Mus musculus: one gene and its partners. The protein of the gene in region 1 purifies or fractionates together with the protein of each later gene. This does not show direct contact. Links are inferred from orthologs where the notes say so. Each region holds a gene or a part of one and is shown on either strand. Other genes may lie near its edges.

Region 1 (5,632 bases):
TTTTTATTTTTTATGTAGGTTTTGGGTGTTTTTGTGTTTTTTCTCTGTATTATTTTATTTTCATTTTGAGTTCTATTGAGGTTTAAGTTTCAGTCTTAGCACTTTTGAAATGTATACTTCAAACAGGAATCCCTTTTCAGTTGTAATGTTCGTGTTACCTTGAACACGACTGCTACCTACCTCTTGAGTGTTTAGCCTGTGACACATTATGCTAAGCCTATCTTTACGGTCGCTCCTGGGGATCTGAGCTTCAGACCTCAGGTTTATGTGAAGGCCTTAACCCACTCAGCTATATTCCTTACTGTATAAGTGCTTTCATGTGAGTTTGAACAATTGAAACATTATAGAAGTCAGATGTGGTAGTGCATAAGCATAATCCTAACACTTAGAAATAGAGGCCAGGAGTAAAAGTTAAAAGCCATCCTTGGCAACATAACAAGTTGGAAATCCGCTGAGACCCAGAGCACTCTGATCAACATAAGAGAAAGACAGAAAAGGTGACAGGATTTTGTTTTGTGTGGGATCATGATAGTTGAGACAGTTTACTGTGGGCTCCTAGGGGACCTGGAGAGATGTGCTGCCAAGACACACACATTCTGTTTGATCTTACTTAGGTGAGACTGTTTTCACTTCACTCTTTAGGTTTTTAAGTACTTGAGCTTTAGGTATGATTAAGCTTGGCACCGCCTGTTTGTAAAATATCTTAGGACTGAGCTATAACCCAGGCCTTGTGTTGTCTTTTGAGATTTCAAATAAGATGAAGTTTTCAATAAATGAGGTTGTGCTTTATTGTGATAATTTCAGAATGTGGATATCCTGAAAGATCCTGAAACAGTCAAGCAGCTGGGTAGCATATTAAAAACAAATGTGAGAGCCTGCAAAGCTGTTGGTCATCCCTTTGTAATTCAGCTTGGCAGAATTTATTTAGACATGCTTAATGTATATAAGTGCCTCAGTGAAAATATTTCTGCAGCTATTCAAGCTAATGGTAAGTGATTCTTGCTTCTTGGGGAGGTAGAATGCTGGATAAAGGGTTTCTGCTTTCACTGTCTTACCCTTTCTGCTCTTCTCACATTTAAGTAAACCTGCTGTCTGGGGTCAAAAGGTCCAAGACCCTTTCTCAACAATTGCTTGGTTGATTAGTCTTGCCTAGTTAACTAAGATTAGTCTTGCCTACAAGTATAGTTTTATTAACAGAGTAACTATTTTGCAAAATGCCCAAAGCTGTGTGTTGGATCTTGGCTATTTGGTGGTTTGCACTTTGGAATTCTCTCTTCCATTCAACCTTTCCCCCAATAAATTCTTTTGAAGGTACAGCTTTTTAAATGGTCAGTGGAGTTATATTATTTGCAGTAGACCTAACTTTGCATACTATCAGTTAGCTTATATTTGATTGTTCTTCAGGTGAGATGGTTACAAAGCAACCATTGATTAGAAGTATGCGGACAGTAAAAAGGGAAACTTTAAAGTTAATATCTGGTTGGGTGAGCCGTTCCAATGATCCTCAGATGGTAAGATTCTTGTTTTTGTTTTTCTTTTACTTCATATTCTCTAATATATCCTGTCTACATGTATTTGCTTTTAAAAGATAGTTAAATGTCTGTGTTTAGGGTTATTTAGTGCTAGTATTAGTTGGAGTCCTTTTAAAGTAAAAAAGATAGTGATTTAGCTTTTGAAGAAATTTGTTTGCTACAGATGATGATAATAAATAAGAATGGGTTATTTGGGGCTATAGATATGTCCAAAGGTAGGTTGAAGGGTTGTTAAGATAAAAACAAGATGTCAATAGAATTCATATTTTATATCTAGGTCACTTAGGAAATCCAGGCCATATAGTTCATAAGCTGAAGCTACTACAGTGGCTGTGAGGTAGGAGGAAAAAAGATTACAAATTAAGGATTTGAATCATCTTAACAGCCCTCATCAGTAATCTTGAGCTTTGATGATGATCAAAGTAAAACAAAAAAAGTCACCACTTCAGATTTAAAACTACATAAAGAGCACTATAGCAGATTGCTATGCCTGATCCTCATATCAGCAACAAAAATAGGATCCTGCCCTATACTCACTATTACTGTGTGATATAGCTATAATGTTTGTGAGTAAAATGGAATCTGGAGCAGTCAGTAGCCAGCTCAGTGGATGACGAAGTTTTCTGCCAAATCTCAATGGATTCCAACACTGGGACCCATATGGTGGAAGGAGATCAACTCCCATAGATGAACCTCTCTGACCTACACGTGTGTGTGTATGTAAGCCTGATACCTAGGACTAAAGTATTTATTCATTGTCTTAAAACAGCATCTGCTTAATGGTGTAGGCAGAGCAGGAGAATCACCTTTATAGGCCAACCTGAGTTACACAGTTAGTGGTGATGGAACACACTTTTATTTGGGAGGCAGGGTCAGGTAGATCTAGGATAGCCTGGGCTACACAAAAGAGAGTCTGTGAGGTTTTTTGCTGTTTGTCTTTTGGATTTTGTTGTTGTTTTAAAATCCATTGAAAGCTGGGCATGGTGGCGCACACCTTTAATCCCAGCACTTGGATTTCTGAGTTCAAAGCCAGCCTGGTCTACAAAGTGAGTTCCAGGCCAGCCTGGGCTATACAGAGAAACCCTGTCTTGAAAAAAAAAACAAAACAAAGCAAAACAAAACAAAAAAACCCATTGAAGATTTTATGCTGAGAATGGCAAAGTGAAACATCAGTGCAGGACAATGTAGTATGAGGCAGGTGAATGGTAGTGACTGGTTGCAGTTCTGGAGTGTGTGTTACTGCACTAATAGTATGTATAGGCGACCACAGGAGAGCTACTGCTGTCGCTCACAGTTTGAGCACCTTTAAAATGCAGGAAGTTCTTGAGCCTGCTTGTGCTTAGGGAAGTTACCATAAACACTTTTTTTTTTAAAAGATTTATTTATTGTTATATGTAAGTACACTGTAGCTGTCTTCAGACACACCAGAGGAGGGCATCAGGTCCCATTACAGATGGTTGTGAGCCACCATGTGGTTGCTGGGATTTTAACTCAGGCCCTCTGGAAGAGCAGTCAGTGCTCTTAACCGCTGAGCCATCTCACCAGCCCGAGCTATTACTTTTTATCTTCAGCTCGAACTCTGATAAAATTCTTCTTCTTCTTTTTTTTTTTTTTAACGTATTCATGTATGTTTAGATTGTGTAGGTACAGAGAACCACTCACTGTATCCAGCTTTCTTCCTGAATCAGCTTCTTCACAGCAGTGGCCACAGAATACTGAAGTCTTCTTGGATTTATTTATCCCACTGTTAATTGAAGTCTGGTCTTATAGTATTTTGGATATAGCCAATTCAGGACTTATTTCTTTATTTAGATATTTTCTTTATATACATTTCAAATGCTATCCCAAAAGTCCCCCAGACCCTCTCCCCCACCCACTCCCCTATCCACCCACTCCCACTTCTTGGCCCTGGCGTTCCCCTGTACTGAGGCAGATAAAGTTTACAATACCAAGGGACCTCTTTTCCCAATGATGGCCAACTCAGAAGATGGGAAGATCTCAATTTAGGACTCTTAACTACTGAATATGTATGAAGGTGGTATTTTGGTACACACCTGTCATCATAGCCCTGGGAATTGTAGCAGGATGAATGCCATGAGTTTGAGTCCAACCTTGTTATGTAATGAGACTCACAGATACATTTTAAACTAACTAGTATCTATGGCCATTGTTAATGTTGACCTTACCGGTTCCTGTTGCTAAAATATTTTAGCATCATATCTCATCAGATAATCTGAATTATCTTAGAGACTGGAGTGACCTATATTACTTTACCCCCCAAACAGGTAGCTGAAAACTTTGTTCCTCCTTTGTTGGATGCAGTTCTTATTGATTACCAGAGAAATGTACCAGCTGCTAGAGAACCAGAAGTGCTTAGTACTATGGCCATTATTGTCAACAAATTAGGTGGACATATAACAGCTGAAATACCTCAAATATTCGATGCAGTTTTTGAGTGCACATTGAATATGATAAATAAGGTAGGTGATCTGTGTTTTTATTATATAATGGAAGATTCTGTAGTATGTTCTTCACTCCTAAATATATAAATGACAATTATTTTTTAGAGTTTCGAAGTCCTAGAATTAAGTATTATATTTATAGTAATTTATAGTAATTGTCATCTTAACAGAATCTTGACACCACCACCACCCCAAAAAAGAAAAAAAGGACAAAAAGACTGGTCACGGACACACTTAGACCTAAGACTGCTCAAAGGGCAGAGGTGCATGCATAGAACTATGATCTCTAATTTCTGGGTAGCCATGTCTGGCCTGGAACTCACGCTGTAGATCCAGCTGGATTAGAACTCAGATCTGCCTGCCTCTGGGATTAAGGGTGTGCTCTACAAATTTCCAGGCTAGAATTTGTATTTTAAAAATTGAACTAATCAGCCTGGCGTGGTGGCATACGCCTTTAATCCCAGCACTCGCTAGGCAGAGGTAGGCGGATTTCTGAGTTCAAGGCAGCCTGGTCTACAAAGTGAGTTCCAGGACAGCCAGGGCTATAAAGACAAACCCTGTCTCAAAAAAAAAACGAAAAAGAAATAATCACAAACTAGCAAACACAGCTAGGTTTCTGGTCTATATATGACATACACATATAACAGCTTGGTCAACAAAAGAAAGGGGTGGGGATTAAATCTGGACTGAACCTCGGTATGGGATAACTTTTAAAATTTAGGGGATAGCAGATAGTCTACTGTTTTTGTTTTTGTTTTTTTGGTTTCAATATGTAGCAGGATAAAATTGGGTGGTAGCATTTAAAAGTTCCTCCTGGGCTGATCTCAGTTCAGTTCTGAGCATGGTGGCTCATAACCATCTGTATTGGGGTCTGATGCTCAGAGTACTCACATAAATGAAATACATAAATCCTCTGTTTGTTTTTTTGAGACAGGGTTTCTCTGTATAGCTCAGGCTGTCCTGGAACTCACTCTGTAGACTAGGCTGCCCTTGCACTCAGAAATCAGCCTGTCTCTGCCTCCCAAGTACTGGAATTAAAGGCGTGTGCCACCACTGCTAGGCACATAAATCTTTTTTAAAAAAAAGTTTTCCAGATGGGTTGTGATGTAAACACACACCCAGACCTTTGGTGAGTAGATTTGAGACAAGAGCATTTTCTTGCCAACCATAAACTGGCCTCAGACTTCAGCAGGCTTTCTGAGAGTAGGTGTTTCATGACAAGCATGGCTGTGTTTGCTGATTTGTGAATATTTCCAGAGCATGGTACTTAAATCTTTAAAATATAAATTCTAGCCTGGAGGTGGTGGATTTCTCTTGAGTTCTAAACCAGTTGGGTCTACAAAGCATAGTGACAGGACAGCCATGGCTATCCAGAGAAATCCTGCCTTTGAAAACCAATGATAACAAGAAATGATAACAAATCCTAAAATTTGGGCTTTCCTTTGGGGGAAACTTTGAAGGTAGATGCAAATAGAAACTTTTCCTCTTTTAAGGCATTGAAATGTTTCAGTGTTCTTTCTTATTTTAGGATTTTGAAGAGTATCCAGAACACAGAACAAACTTTTTCTTATTACTTCAAGCTGTCAATTCTCACTGTTTCCCAGCATTCCTAGCTATTCCACCTGCACAGTTCAAGCT
Region 2 (4,155 bases), on another chromosome or scaffold:
TAGTATGGACTACTGAGCCATCTCTTCAGACCACTTTCCCCTCTTTATGCAGGTGCTGGGTATCCAACTCAGATCCTCGAGCCTGCATGGCAAGCACCTTACTGACTCAGCCATCTCCCCAGCCTCCAACGCTAAGGCTTCTATTGGAGTTCTTAGGACTCTCATGTATAGAATCATAGCATCTGCAAATAAGAATATTTTGGTTTCTCCCTTTCTTATTTGTATTCCCTTTATTATTTCCCTTGTCTTACAGCCCTAGCTAAAAACTTCCAACACTCTATTAAAAGTGGAGAACATAAACACCCTTGTCTGTTTTAGTAGAAATTAGGCATATCTTTAAAAAACAAGTAACTAAAGTTTATACTGTAGTTACATTTCCATGTTCATTATAAATGTCTTATAAAACACAGATGATTGTGTGGAGCTGGAAAGGTGGTGGCTCAGCAGTTAAGAACATCTGCTACTCTCTCCCAGGACCAGAAGAGCTTGGTTCTCAGCCTCTGTGTTGGGCAGTTTCAAACCACCTGTAACTCCAGCTCCGGGGCGTCTGACACCTCTTCGGACCTTAGAAATGCTAGGGTCTTCCTTTTGACATCAGTTTCGGTTACAGTTGCGGATTTACCTGTTTTCATCTATTTTGTGGATCCACTTCTGAGAAAAATATGTTTCAGATGATTTCTTTAAGAATAATACTTTTCTTTAATGAAAAACATTTTATATTTTCTGCTTACTATTAAAAGTACAGTGTTTGCAATATAATAGAGAGTTTTCAGTTTTTCTTTCTTTTCTTTTTCTTTTTGCATCAACTGTTTAGTAAACAGCGATTCGATACTCTTAAGTTGTCCATGGTGATATTTACAGTGGCCATGTTTCTTTAGAAAGATCCATGTATTTTATGTATTTGAGTGTTTGGCCCGCATGAATATATATGCACCAAGTTTGTGGTTGGTGGCCTCAGAGTTAAGAGGGCGGCAGATCCTCTCCAAATGGAACTCTAGACGTCAGTGAGCCCACCCTGTGAGTGCTGGGAATTGAACCCAGGTCCTTTGTAAGAACAACTGCTTTTAACTGCTGAGCCCTCTCCCCAGGAGCTGAGAAGTGCATTTTAAAGATACGGGGGCGGGTGGAACGGTGAGCCTATCACAGACACCAAACTGTTGTAATCACTGTCCCGAGCCTGCTCAGCTCGCCCGGTCTCCCGTATCCCCACCCACTCACTCCATAGGCCCCGCCCCTTGCTACACGTGTATTCTTTGACCCCGCCCACCCGTCCCCTTCTCCCGCACCCTTCAGCACGCGGGATTTCCGGTTCTCCTATCGCGAGATCTTCGTAGGTGTGTAGCGCGGCTGAGGTAGCCGGTAGTGCGTCCTGGCCGGCGGGTTGCCCGCTGTGGGTGTATTTCGCCCTGTCACGGAGCTGCTGGTAGGTTCTGGGTGGGAGACCCGGCTCCTGCGCCAACAGCGGCCAGACGAGGGAGCGAGCCGGGCCCTGTACCCGGGCTGCGAGCGGCCCGCACGGGCGCCGGGGCGTGGGTGTGGGGCCGAGGCCGGCCGCATGCGGAGCCGCGGCGCGGAGGAGGGCGGAAGGGCCGTGCTGGGCGGCGGCTCGCGACCCCCGGGCTTGTGTGCCGCACGCATGGCTGTCCCCGAACTCAGGAGACTCGACCTGATGGATCCAAGTCTCACCGGTCCTTCCCTCCCCTTGATAGGTCGCGCGCGAACCATGGAGTACATGGCAGAGTCCATTGAGCACAGCCCGGGACACATGTGAGTTGCGAGCCCGCCCTGATCGATCCCTTGGCGTCTGCAGATCGTAAAATACCGAGAAAACGGTTAACGCTAGCAGGAGAGGTCCTTTTCTCGGTGGGAGAAAACGGTTGGGTCTTGATCGCATAGGAAGTCTACCCCATTTTAAGTCCGGTGTAGAAAAAAATGAGTGCTTTGAGAAGACGTCCTCCTAGAGGGGCACGAGTGGACGTGTACGGTTGTCACCCGGCTCCTCTGTCGTGCTAGCCACATGGTATGCGGTGCTCACGTGCAGCTAGTGGCCACCACTGGAAGATTATCTTAGTTTTCTTTGGGCAGCCGTGGGCCACGGTGGCGGAGGTTCACAGACTTTTTCTGCTGTTTCGTTGAAATCTTACTTTCGATGGAGCCAGTCCTGTTAGATTGGCCCTGGAATTCACTCTGTAGCCACGGCTGACCTTGAGAGCCTTGTCCCTTCAGCCTTAGCCTCCCAAGTGCTGCGATTATGTCAGGCCTGCTTCACAAAATTTTTCTGCCTCCAGTACACTATAGAGTTATACTCCTGTAGCTTAGAGCATCGGTAGGCATAGGTGCTCTTCTTGTCCTGTATTTTTGTCTATTTCTCCTTTTAAAAATTACTTTGTAACATAAAATACAGGGTTTCATTATATTTTCATGTATATAGGAGGGTCCGCATATTTAACATTGTACAGCGTTCATATTTACCCTACCATTGATCTTCCTTAACCCTCCTACCCCCTCACAGGTCCCTTTCCTTTCCTTAATAATCTCCTTTCTGTTTTCATGGAATACGTACATTTTCCTTTACTGTTCATTGTGGGTCCCTGTAAAGGGGGCCTGTTCGCATCTACGCATTGTAGATGCTCAGAACAAAGGGGGCACCCACTAGCCGAGTCAGATGCAAGAGAAACGAGAAACGGATCTTACATATATTGTTTGTTTCTCTTTGTTGTTTATTTTTGCTTTTGAGACAGTCTTACCATGTTAAGTCCTGCTTACCAGGAACTCATAGAGAGATCTGTCTGCCTCTGCCTCTGCCTCGCAAGTGCTGGGTAAAGGTCTGCACCATCACACTTGGCTGTCTTTTGTTTATATTGTTGAATTTATGTGCACATTAGTGTTTGCTATTGTTGTTAGACTATTTGCATTGCTAATTTCTTTTTTTCTTAGTTTTCCAATTTTAAAGAAGAGATGAGGGACTAGGACATTTCTATCATTGCATGAAGTTCATTAGCATGACAAAGTCGCACAGTGCCCTCTTTAAGCATTTTCAGAATTATGGCCCTTTGATTTTTGCCGATGTTTCAGGATTCTTCTTCACTCTGTCTTTAAGATTGCCTTTTTCCCCTCTTCGAGACAGACTCTCATGAAGCTCTGGCTGGCGTGAGACTCACAGATCTGTGTGCCCTGCTTCCTGGTTGTTAAGACGAAAAAGATTTCCCCCCACACCCCACTTGTCTTTTAAAAACAAATCAACTTATTTTATTCGTGAGTGTATGTGTGTGTGCTAAGTGCATGTAAGAGGCCATGGACATCAGAAGAGTGGTAGACTCTCCTGGAACTAGAGTTACAGATGGTTGTGAGCTGCCTCTTGTGTGCTGAAAATTGACCCCAGTTTGCTATAAGAGCTGGAAGCACTTTGACCCATTAAGTGTCTCCTCCCCCACTTTAAACAGTAGAATCTTGAAGGCTTTGGCTTGGTAGGGGTTTTTTGTTTGTTTGTTTTGTTTTGTTTTTGACTAGTAAATGTATAAAATCTAATTGGAAAAAATCTGCTTTATTTTCTCAAGCTTGTGCTGTGAATGTGGTGTCCCAATTAGTCCAAATCCTGCCAATATTTGTGTGGCCTGTTTACGAAGTAAAGTTGACATCAGCCAAGGTGTTCCAAAGCAGGTCTCCATTTCTTTCTGCAAACAGTGTCAGAGGTACAGTACATTACTACTTGTTTAGCTTCCTTAAGTTGGTCTTCATACAGAGAGCCACTGTGTTATGCTGAGATTACTCTGAAGTATACGGAATGAAACGTGCTGTTGAGTGTTAATTTTTACCTAGTTGATGTTACCAAGGATATAATAATTTGCAGTTTTATGCTGTGCTTTCTACTGTCCTACTAATCTGGTAAGGATAGAAAAAATATTTGTATAAAAGTGAGATACTGAATCTGACAGTAGAAGACGCCTTCTGAGAGCTGATGCATTCTTTCTTCAGTTTCGTTCCTTTAGTTGTTGGCTACATCTGTTTACATCTATCCATATGTCTAGTGAGAGACTTAAACCTTGTCAGTGAATATAAAAATTATATGCCTGTGACTTCCCAGATAGGTTTAGCATTTGCTTTGTGTATGTGGAAATTGTCTGTGGACCTCTGTAAGAATTCAAAATGTATTTC
Region 3 (3,992 bases), on another chromosome or scaffold:
CCTCAGTACTGATCTTGTGAAGGAATAAATTCTTCCTTTTCTGTCCACCCCCACCCCCAGCTCAACCCACCTCTCTTCTTAACCTGTTCTTACCTGCCAGGGGCTCTCCCCCCCCTGGAAGCCCGCCCTCCAGGGCACCCCCAAGGACCTCATAGGGGCCCAGGGGGGCAGGGGCCAGGGGGAGTTTCCCATAGTCTACGAGCCAGCCCAGCCCGCTAGCTGGGAGCAGGGCCCTGTCCAGCTCCAGTCCCAGGGTCGCCAGGAGTGACATGGCTGTGACACAGGCACAGGGCAGCGACGGCAATGGAGGCTGCACCAACAATTGGGAGGCAGCGTGGAAGATTGTTCAGCTGGGTGAAGACAGGCACCAAGGCGAAGGTGGAGGACCTGTGAGGACAAGGGGACGTGGGTGGGATTGAGTCAAAGCGGCTTGACCCACAGGCTACACAGTTTCCTTCTTTCCGAAAATTTCAGCGCTCCACACATTCCCAGGGACATTATTGGAAACTCCCCTGCCCCATCTCCTCCCTCAACACAGAAACCTAGTGTTTTCCCAGGGGAATTACCTCTAGTCCCTCCTACCCACCTCATCTTATTCCTCTTCATAAAAATTTCAATCCCAAGGGAATTTCCTTCTAGCCGTGCCCCTTCCGCATCATTAGACTATACCCCCTTTAATCCACAGGGGTTCCCAGAATAATTCTGCATGCCTGGGCCCTTCATCAGTGTCACACACACAGATCCCGCTCTTCCCTTAAAAATTTTGGTGACTTCTAAAGATTCTACGGGAAGCTCCGCCCACCCTTCTGTCTGTCACAGTCAGTTCCCGTCCCCCACTAGCAAGTCCCTAGAGGCCCCGCCCCTGTAGTGCTAGTGCTAACTCTTTCTTAAAGGTGTTCCTAAAGCCTTTCCTGTCAGTTTAAGCCAGTCCCCGCCCCAGCAGGTGTCTGATTGGAGGGAAGTTGGGCCTGAGTCGGAGCCTCAAGCAAAACCCCACCCTTCCTCGCTGCTGGCTCGACTAGCGACGAGGCGCAAGCTCAGTCCCAGGACCCGATCCATTGTTACGCCACTACCCTCCTGGGGGACCAGTGCGCGTGTTTAGCCAATGACCGGCCGCCCGCCGTAGTTCAGGCCGGGGGTGGAGGGGTGGGGGGGTGGGGGAATAAGACAATGCGCATGCGCAACAGGTTGTGGGGTTGTCTCCTTGGAGGAAAAGGGGCAGAGGGTCTGTGAATTAGCGCGCAGGCGCAACGGCGCGCGAGCCGACCTTAAAAGCCCCCAAATTCTCCGGAAGCACGCCCTCCTCCTCCCCGCCCCTCGCAACTCGAGCCTAGTGCGCTTGCTCAGCGGATGCGCCGGCCGCCAGCTTCCCTCTTCTGCGCCTGCGCGACCGTGGTTCCTCACTTCGTCTCCCCCGCCCCCACCACGAGGCTGACCCGTGAAGCCCCGCGAGCTCTGAAAGGGCGGGAAAGGCAGTTGGCGAGGGAGGGGCGAGCGGTTACTCACTCCATGGCGGCGAAAAGGCGAGGAGGCAACGGCGGCGGCGGCCTCGGCTGAAGAGACGGTGTGAGCGGAGAGTGAAGGCGCGGTGAGCGCGGAGACGGGGGCGGGGGACACGACGGGGTCGCGGCTACAGAGCCATTGCGCGGGCGGAGGCGGCGTGGCGGGAGCGTTAAGGGAGACTGTGCTGAGAGGGTTGAAAATGAGGCGGCCCCGGGGCCTGGGGACAAATATACCGGGGGCGGCGCAGCGCGGGCTTGCCTGGATCCCTCCGCGCCCCGCCCTCGCGCGGCCCCGACGGGGCGGTGGCGACCCCGGGCCCGCCATGTCGCCCTGACCCTCCACTCTCTGCTTCAGGCTGGGGGCCCGGGCTCGGTCTCCTGAATCGGTCAGATCCGATGTGTCTTTCACACCCGAAACCAGCTCGTCTCGTTCTCTCTCCCTGCTTCACGAATTTGCCACCCGAGACCTCGTGGGTTAAGCCCATCGCCGAATGGCGCAAGCTAGCTTAGGCTTCATAGAGGAGTTCCAGGCAGCAACCGCGAGATAACGCTTCCCAAGTACTTGTAGAGCGCTGTATACGCGCACAGATATATCAGCTATGGAAAGTAGGCCACGAAGTCCTAACCACGAGACTCTTCAACATATTTTTGTTTGTTTTGTTTTAACATTTATTGTGGTGGTCAGAGGAGAGCTAGCAGGAGTTGGTTCTCTGACCATGTGAGTCCCAGGGACGGAACTCGGGTCAAACTATTTGGCAGCCTTTACCCACTGCTCAGTCATTGTATTTTCTTTTAGAAAAAAACCCTGACTTCACCTCTTTTACTCTCCCTACCCCAGATTCTTAGCCATATGATCGTTCTGTGTGTCCCACCTCCAAGGTTTCTGTTTCCAGCCATCCCTGCCGACCTCTAAGGTTTTGCCCTTGCTCTGACTTTCTTGCAGTCCTTGCTCTCTTGCTGACCCCACTAGATAATTATTTCTTGATCCTGTCCAAAATAGGACATTTATATTCCATTTAGTAAAAGAGTCCCTCTTGTCCTTCACCGGGGATGATGCGTGAACCCTGTTTTCTACCCCATGTTCATGTACATGGCTGGCATTCCATGTGAAAGTCAGTCAGTGTGTCATATTTGTAGCAGCTGAGAGACTGAATGGTTGGAGATAGAGCTCAAGAATGCTCGTCTGTTTTTAACACCAGAACCTTAGTCTCTGTCCAAGCACCACATGGATTGGGCTTGACTTGCCTGTATTCTCAGGATTTGGGAGATGGGAGAAAAGAAATCATGAGTTCAGGGTCATACTGACTGGCCTCAATGTGTTTTAAAAAGAAAAAGTCCAGAGGCCAGGCTTGATATCTCACCTACTTAGGAGGCTAAGACAGGAGTATTGAAAGTCAAGGTCAGGGCTGGAGCTGCTTTGAGATGGCTCTGGTGGTGATCTCTAAACTCAACCCTCCTGAGTTCCATCCTCAGGACCCACTTGGTAGAAGGACAAAAGCAACTCTAGACGGTTGTCCTCTGACCTCCACCACCTGTAGTGACAGGTCTACATACTGAGTAAGGGGAGGAAAAAAGCTCAAGGCTTGCCTTGACTAGAAAGTGAGTTCTTGGCTGTCTAGAGAACTTAACAAAGATCCTGATTTTAAAAAAATATGTAATGGGCTGGGGTTGGAGGTTGGTGGCAGAGTGTTGGCCAGAATACTGCTTTCCAGACTCTGGTGTCCATCCCTGGTACTGTAAAAGATTCAGAGCAGGTGGGGAATACTGATTTTGAAAGTTACAAGTCCTTGAGATAATTCCCCTTGGAATGGGCACTCTTTTTTTTTTTTTAGATTTTATTTATGTAAGTACACAGGTTCTCTTCAGACACACCAGAAGAGGGCATCAGATTCCATTGCAGATGGTTGTGAGCCACCATGTGGTTGCTCTGGAAAAGCAGTCAGTGCTCTGTAACACTGAGCCATCAGAGTGTGAATTCTTATCTTCTGCCAGTGTTTGAGCACAGGCGTGATTTGATGTGTTTAGACTCCAGCCCTCCCTTGCCAGCTATGGGCTTTGTTAAGTCCATGTGGAGTCTGCTACGAATACAGAAATGGGATGGACCCAGAGCTTCATGAACTGCATGCTAAATGGACATTCTACCACCTGAGCTGCATCCCTGGGCCCCACAGGTGCTGGTTTTTATTTGAAACATTGTGCCATGTTGCTGTGCCGGTGGTGCTCCTTTCCTTGAGTTTGGTATTTTAAAGTAAACTTTTGGAATAATCGAAAGGTTTCAAAGACAGTGCAGAGTGGGGGTACCAGCCCATAGTCTTCCCCATGGTACTTCTTTTTTCTTTCCTGAGGTCCTACCCAGATGCTTCCCCCGCCCTCAGATCCACCTTAACTCAAGAGCTGGTTTTCACATTTAGCTGCCATGCCCTCCCCAGCATGTGCACAGCCGTCACTTTATGGGAGTTGTGATCATCCCTGGAGGCCTGCCACCCTGAG
Region 4 (4,271 bases), on another chromosome or scaffold:
TGTCAGCCTCACTAGTGTTGATGTCATTTCTGGGGGGGGGGGGGGGACTTCAGCAAAAAGCTAACCACTGCCCAATACCAGAACCAAAAGGGTTAAGTCAGTGACTCTGATGGGCCCCTACTGATAGGCAGGGTAGCTCCGGAGCTCTGTACACACAACTCCCCCCTAGAAGCGAGTAGCCAAGTACAGCAGCACTTCATAAGAGTTTTCCTTTGGACTAAGTGGGTTCATAATTGGGCGGCAACTTCCAAGACAGTACCCATAAGTTTGAGCCTGTTTTGTATCTTCAAATCAAGTCATGCTCCATGCCTACCAGCACCCCATCTGCTTCCCCCTCCCACAGCAGCATCTGGATCCAAGGCTGCAATAGTCCTAGCCACACCAGAAAAGTTTCCTAGAGCTCTTGGGTTTGACATTAAAGTTTCAGTCAACACTTGGGAGTTGGAAGCAGGTGAATTTCTTGAGTTTGTGGCCAACTTGGTCTACAAAGCAAGTTTCACAGAAACCCTGTTTCAAGAAACAAAACCCAAAACTAGCAACTTTCCCTAGCTACCTACCTAGCTGACCTGGGTCTACCAATTAGGCTTCAGTATGACAGACTGAGTGAAGTGAAGATCAAGGCTTAAGGCTCACTAGATCCCTGATTTTGTTTTGAGATGGTCTATGTAGTGTTCCCTATCTCTGAACTGGACAAAGTATTGATAGTAAGACTAAAGCTTTTTTATTTTATTTTATTATTTTATTTTTTTTGGAGGAAGGGTCTCTACATAGCTCTGGCTGTTCTAGAAATTTCTATAGAGCCAAGACTGGCCTCAAACTCAAAGATCTGCCTGCCTCTGCCTTCCAAATGCTGGGTTTAAAGACCTGCTCCACTACACCCGACTTGACTTTTTTTTTCATTAGTCAATTTAAAAGACCTTTTTTCATTAGTCAATTTAAAAACCTACGAAGGACAGGATTTCGTTTAATTCACACTTGGGTTTCACACTGGGCATGATACTGTGCTGGAGGAAGAAAAGTTCGCATTAGTTAAGGTTCCTGCTCCAGTGGGGCTTACATTCCAATTTTCTATTTCGTCATAATTCGTCGTGGAGATGAGAAAAGCTAAGAGGGCATAGGCCAGCGGCTGGCAAGGAACTGAGCTGCGACTTACTCGCTGCCGGGATCCCACCGGCGGGGACTGTGGGCCGTTACTCCCGTTCAGAGGCCAGGTCTCCATTCTTGTGTGTAGCCCTCGACCCTGCTCCTCTTGAGTTCAGTGCTAACGCAGAGGGTTTAGCTCCGGGACCGGGCCAGCGAAGAAATAGGAAGGCGGGGCCGGCCGATAGGCCATCCGGCCGGAGCTCCGGCCGTGGGCGGGCCTCGGAGGGCCTGGCCACGCCCCCGAGCGGCCGCCCTGCTTCTGCGCAGGCTCAGAGAGCGCGTTCACGTCCCGCGGCACCGCCCACATCCTGGGGACGTCGGCGGCGCGCGACGTGCTTCGCCGGATAAATGCGGTGGCGCCGGTCGTAGGAGAGATTCTGTCCTGAGCGCTAAGGCTCCTTGGCGTTTGGTGGCGTCAGGTTCTGCGCCTGAGCCCGCCCCTGTACCTGCCTGTGCCATGGCGGACGAAGGGAAGTCATACAACGGTCAGTGCGGGGCCTCGGGCCGGGAGGCGACGCGGTGGGTTGGGGTGGGCGGCCCTGGCCTAGGCCTCAGCCCGGGGGCGGGAGGCCGCGAGGAGCCCTACGTCCGTAGGTAGCGGTGGCCGCGCGGGCAGGGGGCGCGGGGCGCCGCGGGACCCAGGGGCTCCAGAGTCGCCCGGATTCAGGCGTTGGAGAACCTGTGGCTCAGGGGTGGGGTGACAAGATTCCTTTCAACTTTGAGGGTGGTTGATGCCTGTCAGTTCAGTTTGGCGGCCCGACTCTTCCTTTAAATGTGAGTCAGTAGTCGCTTGGTCGTGGGCTACCCTGGTGCCCTATTTTTCTTTTTCTTTTTGTGATACGATCAGTCTGTTCTTGTAGCTTGCTGCTTATTGTTTATCAAATTTCTAGTCGGAACACCTATCCTGACATGTTAATTCATTGTGGTGGTTAGGACACTATGACAGCTGAGGTTTGAATCTGGAGTTGGCTGTACTAAACCCGAGTGAGTTAAACTTTCAGGCCTTGTTTTCCGCCTCTTTCATGTGGGTACCTGTCTCCCAAGTTTGTGTGCATGTGCGTGTGCGTTTGTGTGCGTATGAAATAATTTCTACCAAGTGCCTAGAACACAGTAACTGGAGTGGGAATTTTCTTCCGTGAACCGTAGTTTCACTGTCTCTTAATGTATTCCTTTTTACTAGGGTTGCTTGGAGAGGATCGTTGTTTAGAGGATGCTAGATATTAGGTGGATTTCTTTGAAAGTTATACCTTTTTTGTATTTGTGTAATACTGATGATTTATCCAGGCCTGAAAAATAGCTACCCAATGAACCTTTATTTTAATTCAAATATAATTACTTGGTCTCCTTTCTCTAGCCATTCCCATTGTCAACTCTCTCCCCAAATTCATCCAACATGCAGAGCCCATTTAGTGTTAATGTGTATATATTTGTTTCTAAAGCTTACCATTTGGGATTGGATAACCATTTAGGGAATTCATCCCTAGGGAAGGCTAATTCTCCCTTACAGGGTCAGCCCTAGTATCCCAGGCTGGCCTCAGTCAGTCTCCCTGTGTCAGCTTCCCAAGTTCGGTATTGCATAGACTTTTACTTTTTTTTGGGGGGGTTGGGCTCCTAGAGTTAAACTCAAGGTCTGGCAAAAAGGAAAATAAATAGAACCAAGTGTAGTAGTGCACTGTTTAAGGTAAGAGGATCAGAGGTTCCAGGTCATTCCCTGTGTGCCAGGCCTTCTGTTCTCCCACAGAGCTATAGACAAGGAAGGATGAAAATCCCTTGTTTTTTCGAGACAGGGTTTCTCTGTGTAGCCCTGGCTGTCCTGGAACTCACTTTGTAGACCAGGCTGGCCTTGAACTCGGAAATCCGCCTGCCTCTGCCTCCCAAGTGCTGGGATTAAAGGCATGCGCCACCAGGCCCGGCTGTTATTTTTTTGAGATGGTTCACCAAGTTGTCCAGACTGACTTGAAGTTTCAAATTCTGCCTCAGCCTGGGTGGTGTGTGTGTGTGTGTGAAGGATAGGATAGGCAAGCACATTGTCAACTGGGCTATATCCTCAGCCCTCCTTTTATTTGTTTTGTCTACATATATGCAGACCACCCACTAAGAGAGACAGGTCTCAATCCTGGTCTGGCCTTGAACTCTGTAGTTCCAATCCTCTTCTTAAACAGTGTACTACCACACTTGGTTGGCTTGTTTGTTTATTAATTTATTTATTGAAACAGTGTGTCAATGAGTAGTTCTCTCTGTTCTAGAACTCAATGAGTAGACCATGCTGGCATTCAAAACTCAACAGTTCTCTGCCTGCCACTGTCTGGGAATAAAGATATGGGCCACTGTGTTTGGCTTCTTCCCCTTTTTAAGGCAGGGTTTTAGCTTATCTGGAACTCGGAATCCTCCTGCTTCAAACAATGGTTATATTGGAGAACATTCCCTACCTCCTTACTGTGGAACCTGCACCAGTCCCTGAATCAATAAGTCCCTCGAGGTGCAGGCTATTTTTGCTCAAAGAAACTAGCATTTCCCAAGTTCCGAGTGCAGGAGATGGTAGTTGTTTTTTGGGTTTTGTTTTGTTTTGTTTTGTTTTTCGAGACAGAGTTTCTCTGTGTAGCTCTGGCTGTCCTGGAACTCACTCTGTAGACCAGGCTGGCCTCGAACTCAGAAATCCGCCTGCCTCTGCCTCCCGAGTGCTGGGATTAAAGGAGTGCGCCACCACTGCCCGGCGGTAGTTGTTTTTAGGAGACTTTAAATACGTCCTATTTGTAAGAATTTTTTTATTTTTTGGGATAGAATCTCATGTAGCCCAGCATAGCTTTGATTTCTTGTGTAATTGAAGCCTCCATTTCCCAATTGCCAGGATTGCAGGTGGTGGCCATAACATCTGGTTCTGTGACCATCAACTGTACACATAAGCAAAAGAATATGCAAGTGGCAGATTTTAGGTGGTTTTCAGGAATCTGGTTATATTTTGGGGTTGCCCATACTTCCACATTTTAGTTTTCTTTGTAGGATCTGGTTTCTGGGTGGTTTTGGTTTTCTTTTTTCTTTAAATTCTAAGGTTTTTTTTGGGGGGGGGTAATTTTATACATGTACACAGTTGTAATTGTATTCACCTTTCATTACTCTTTTTTATTTTT

What was found. Proteins that work in one complex are often made in the same cells at the same time.
Region 2: the proteins of Xpo1 (region 1) and Nmd3 purify together in Homo sapiens (affinity purification with western blotting; 3 studies listed by BioGRID and IntAct, with this or other methods). This does not show direct contact. The link is inferred for Mus musculus from reciprocal best matches to the Homo sapiens genes XPO1 and NMD3.
Region 3: the proteins of Xpo1 (region 1) and Nup62 purify together in Homo sapiens (affinity purification with western blotting; 4 studies listed by BioGRID and IntAct, with this or other methods). This does not show direct contact. The link is inferred for Mus musculus from reciprocal best matches to the Homo sapiens genes XPO1 and NUP62.
Region 4: the proteins of Xpo1 (region 1) and Nxf1 purify together in Homo sapiens (affinity purification with mass spectrometry; 3 studies listed by BioGRID and IntAct, with this or other methods). This does not show direct contact. The link is inferred for Mus musculus from reciprocal best matches to the Homo sapiens genes XPO1 and NXF1.

The regions. Positions count from the first base shown.
Region 1 is NC_000077.6:23,285,941-23,291,572, forward strand, and holds part of Xpo1 (exportin-1), read left to right. Parts: intron 1-804; coding exon 805-988; intron 989-1,404; coding exon 1,405-1,511; intron 1,512-3,817; coding exon 3,818-4,012; intron 4,013-5,522; coding exon 5,523-5,632. UniProt on the Homo sapiens protein: Mediates the nuclear export of cellular proteins (cargos) bearing a leucine-rich nuclear export signal (NES) and of RNAs.
Region 2 is NC_000069.6:69,720,700-69,724,854, forward strand, and holds the start of Nmd3 (60S ribosomal export protein NMD3), read left to right. Parts: upstream 1-1,355; 5' UTR 1,356-1,423; intron 1,424-1,709; 5' UTR 1,710-1,723; coding exon 1,724-1,767; intron 1,768-3,557; coding exon 3,558-3,692; intron 3,693-4,155. UniProt on the Homo sapiens protein: Acts as an adapter for the XPO1/CRM1-mediated export of the 60S ribosomal subunit.
Region 3 is NC_000073.6:44,814,896-44,818,887, forward strand, and holds the start of Nup62 (nuclear pore glycoprotein p62), read left to right. Parts: upstream 1-1,192; 5' UTR 1,193-1,588; exon of another isoform or gene 1,589-1,763; intron 1,764-3,992. Other genes in the region: Atf5 (cyclic AMP-dependent transcription factor ATF-5), read right to left, coding at 94-271. UniProt on the Homo sapiens protein: Essential component of the nuclear pore complex. The N-terminal is probably involved in nucleocytoplasmic transport.
Region 4 is NC_000085.6:8,755,632-8,759,902, forward strand, and holds the start of Nxf1 (nuclear RNA export factor 1), read left to right. Parts: upstream 1-1,471; 5' UTR 1,472-1,600; coding exon 1,601-1,628; intron 1,629-4,271.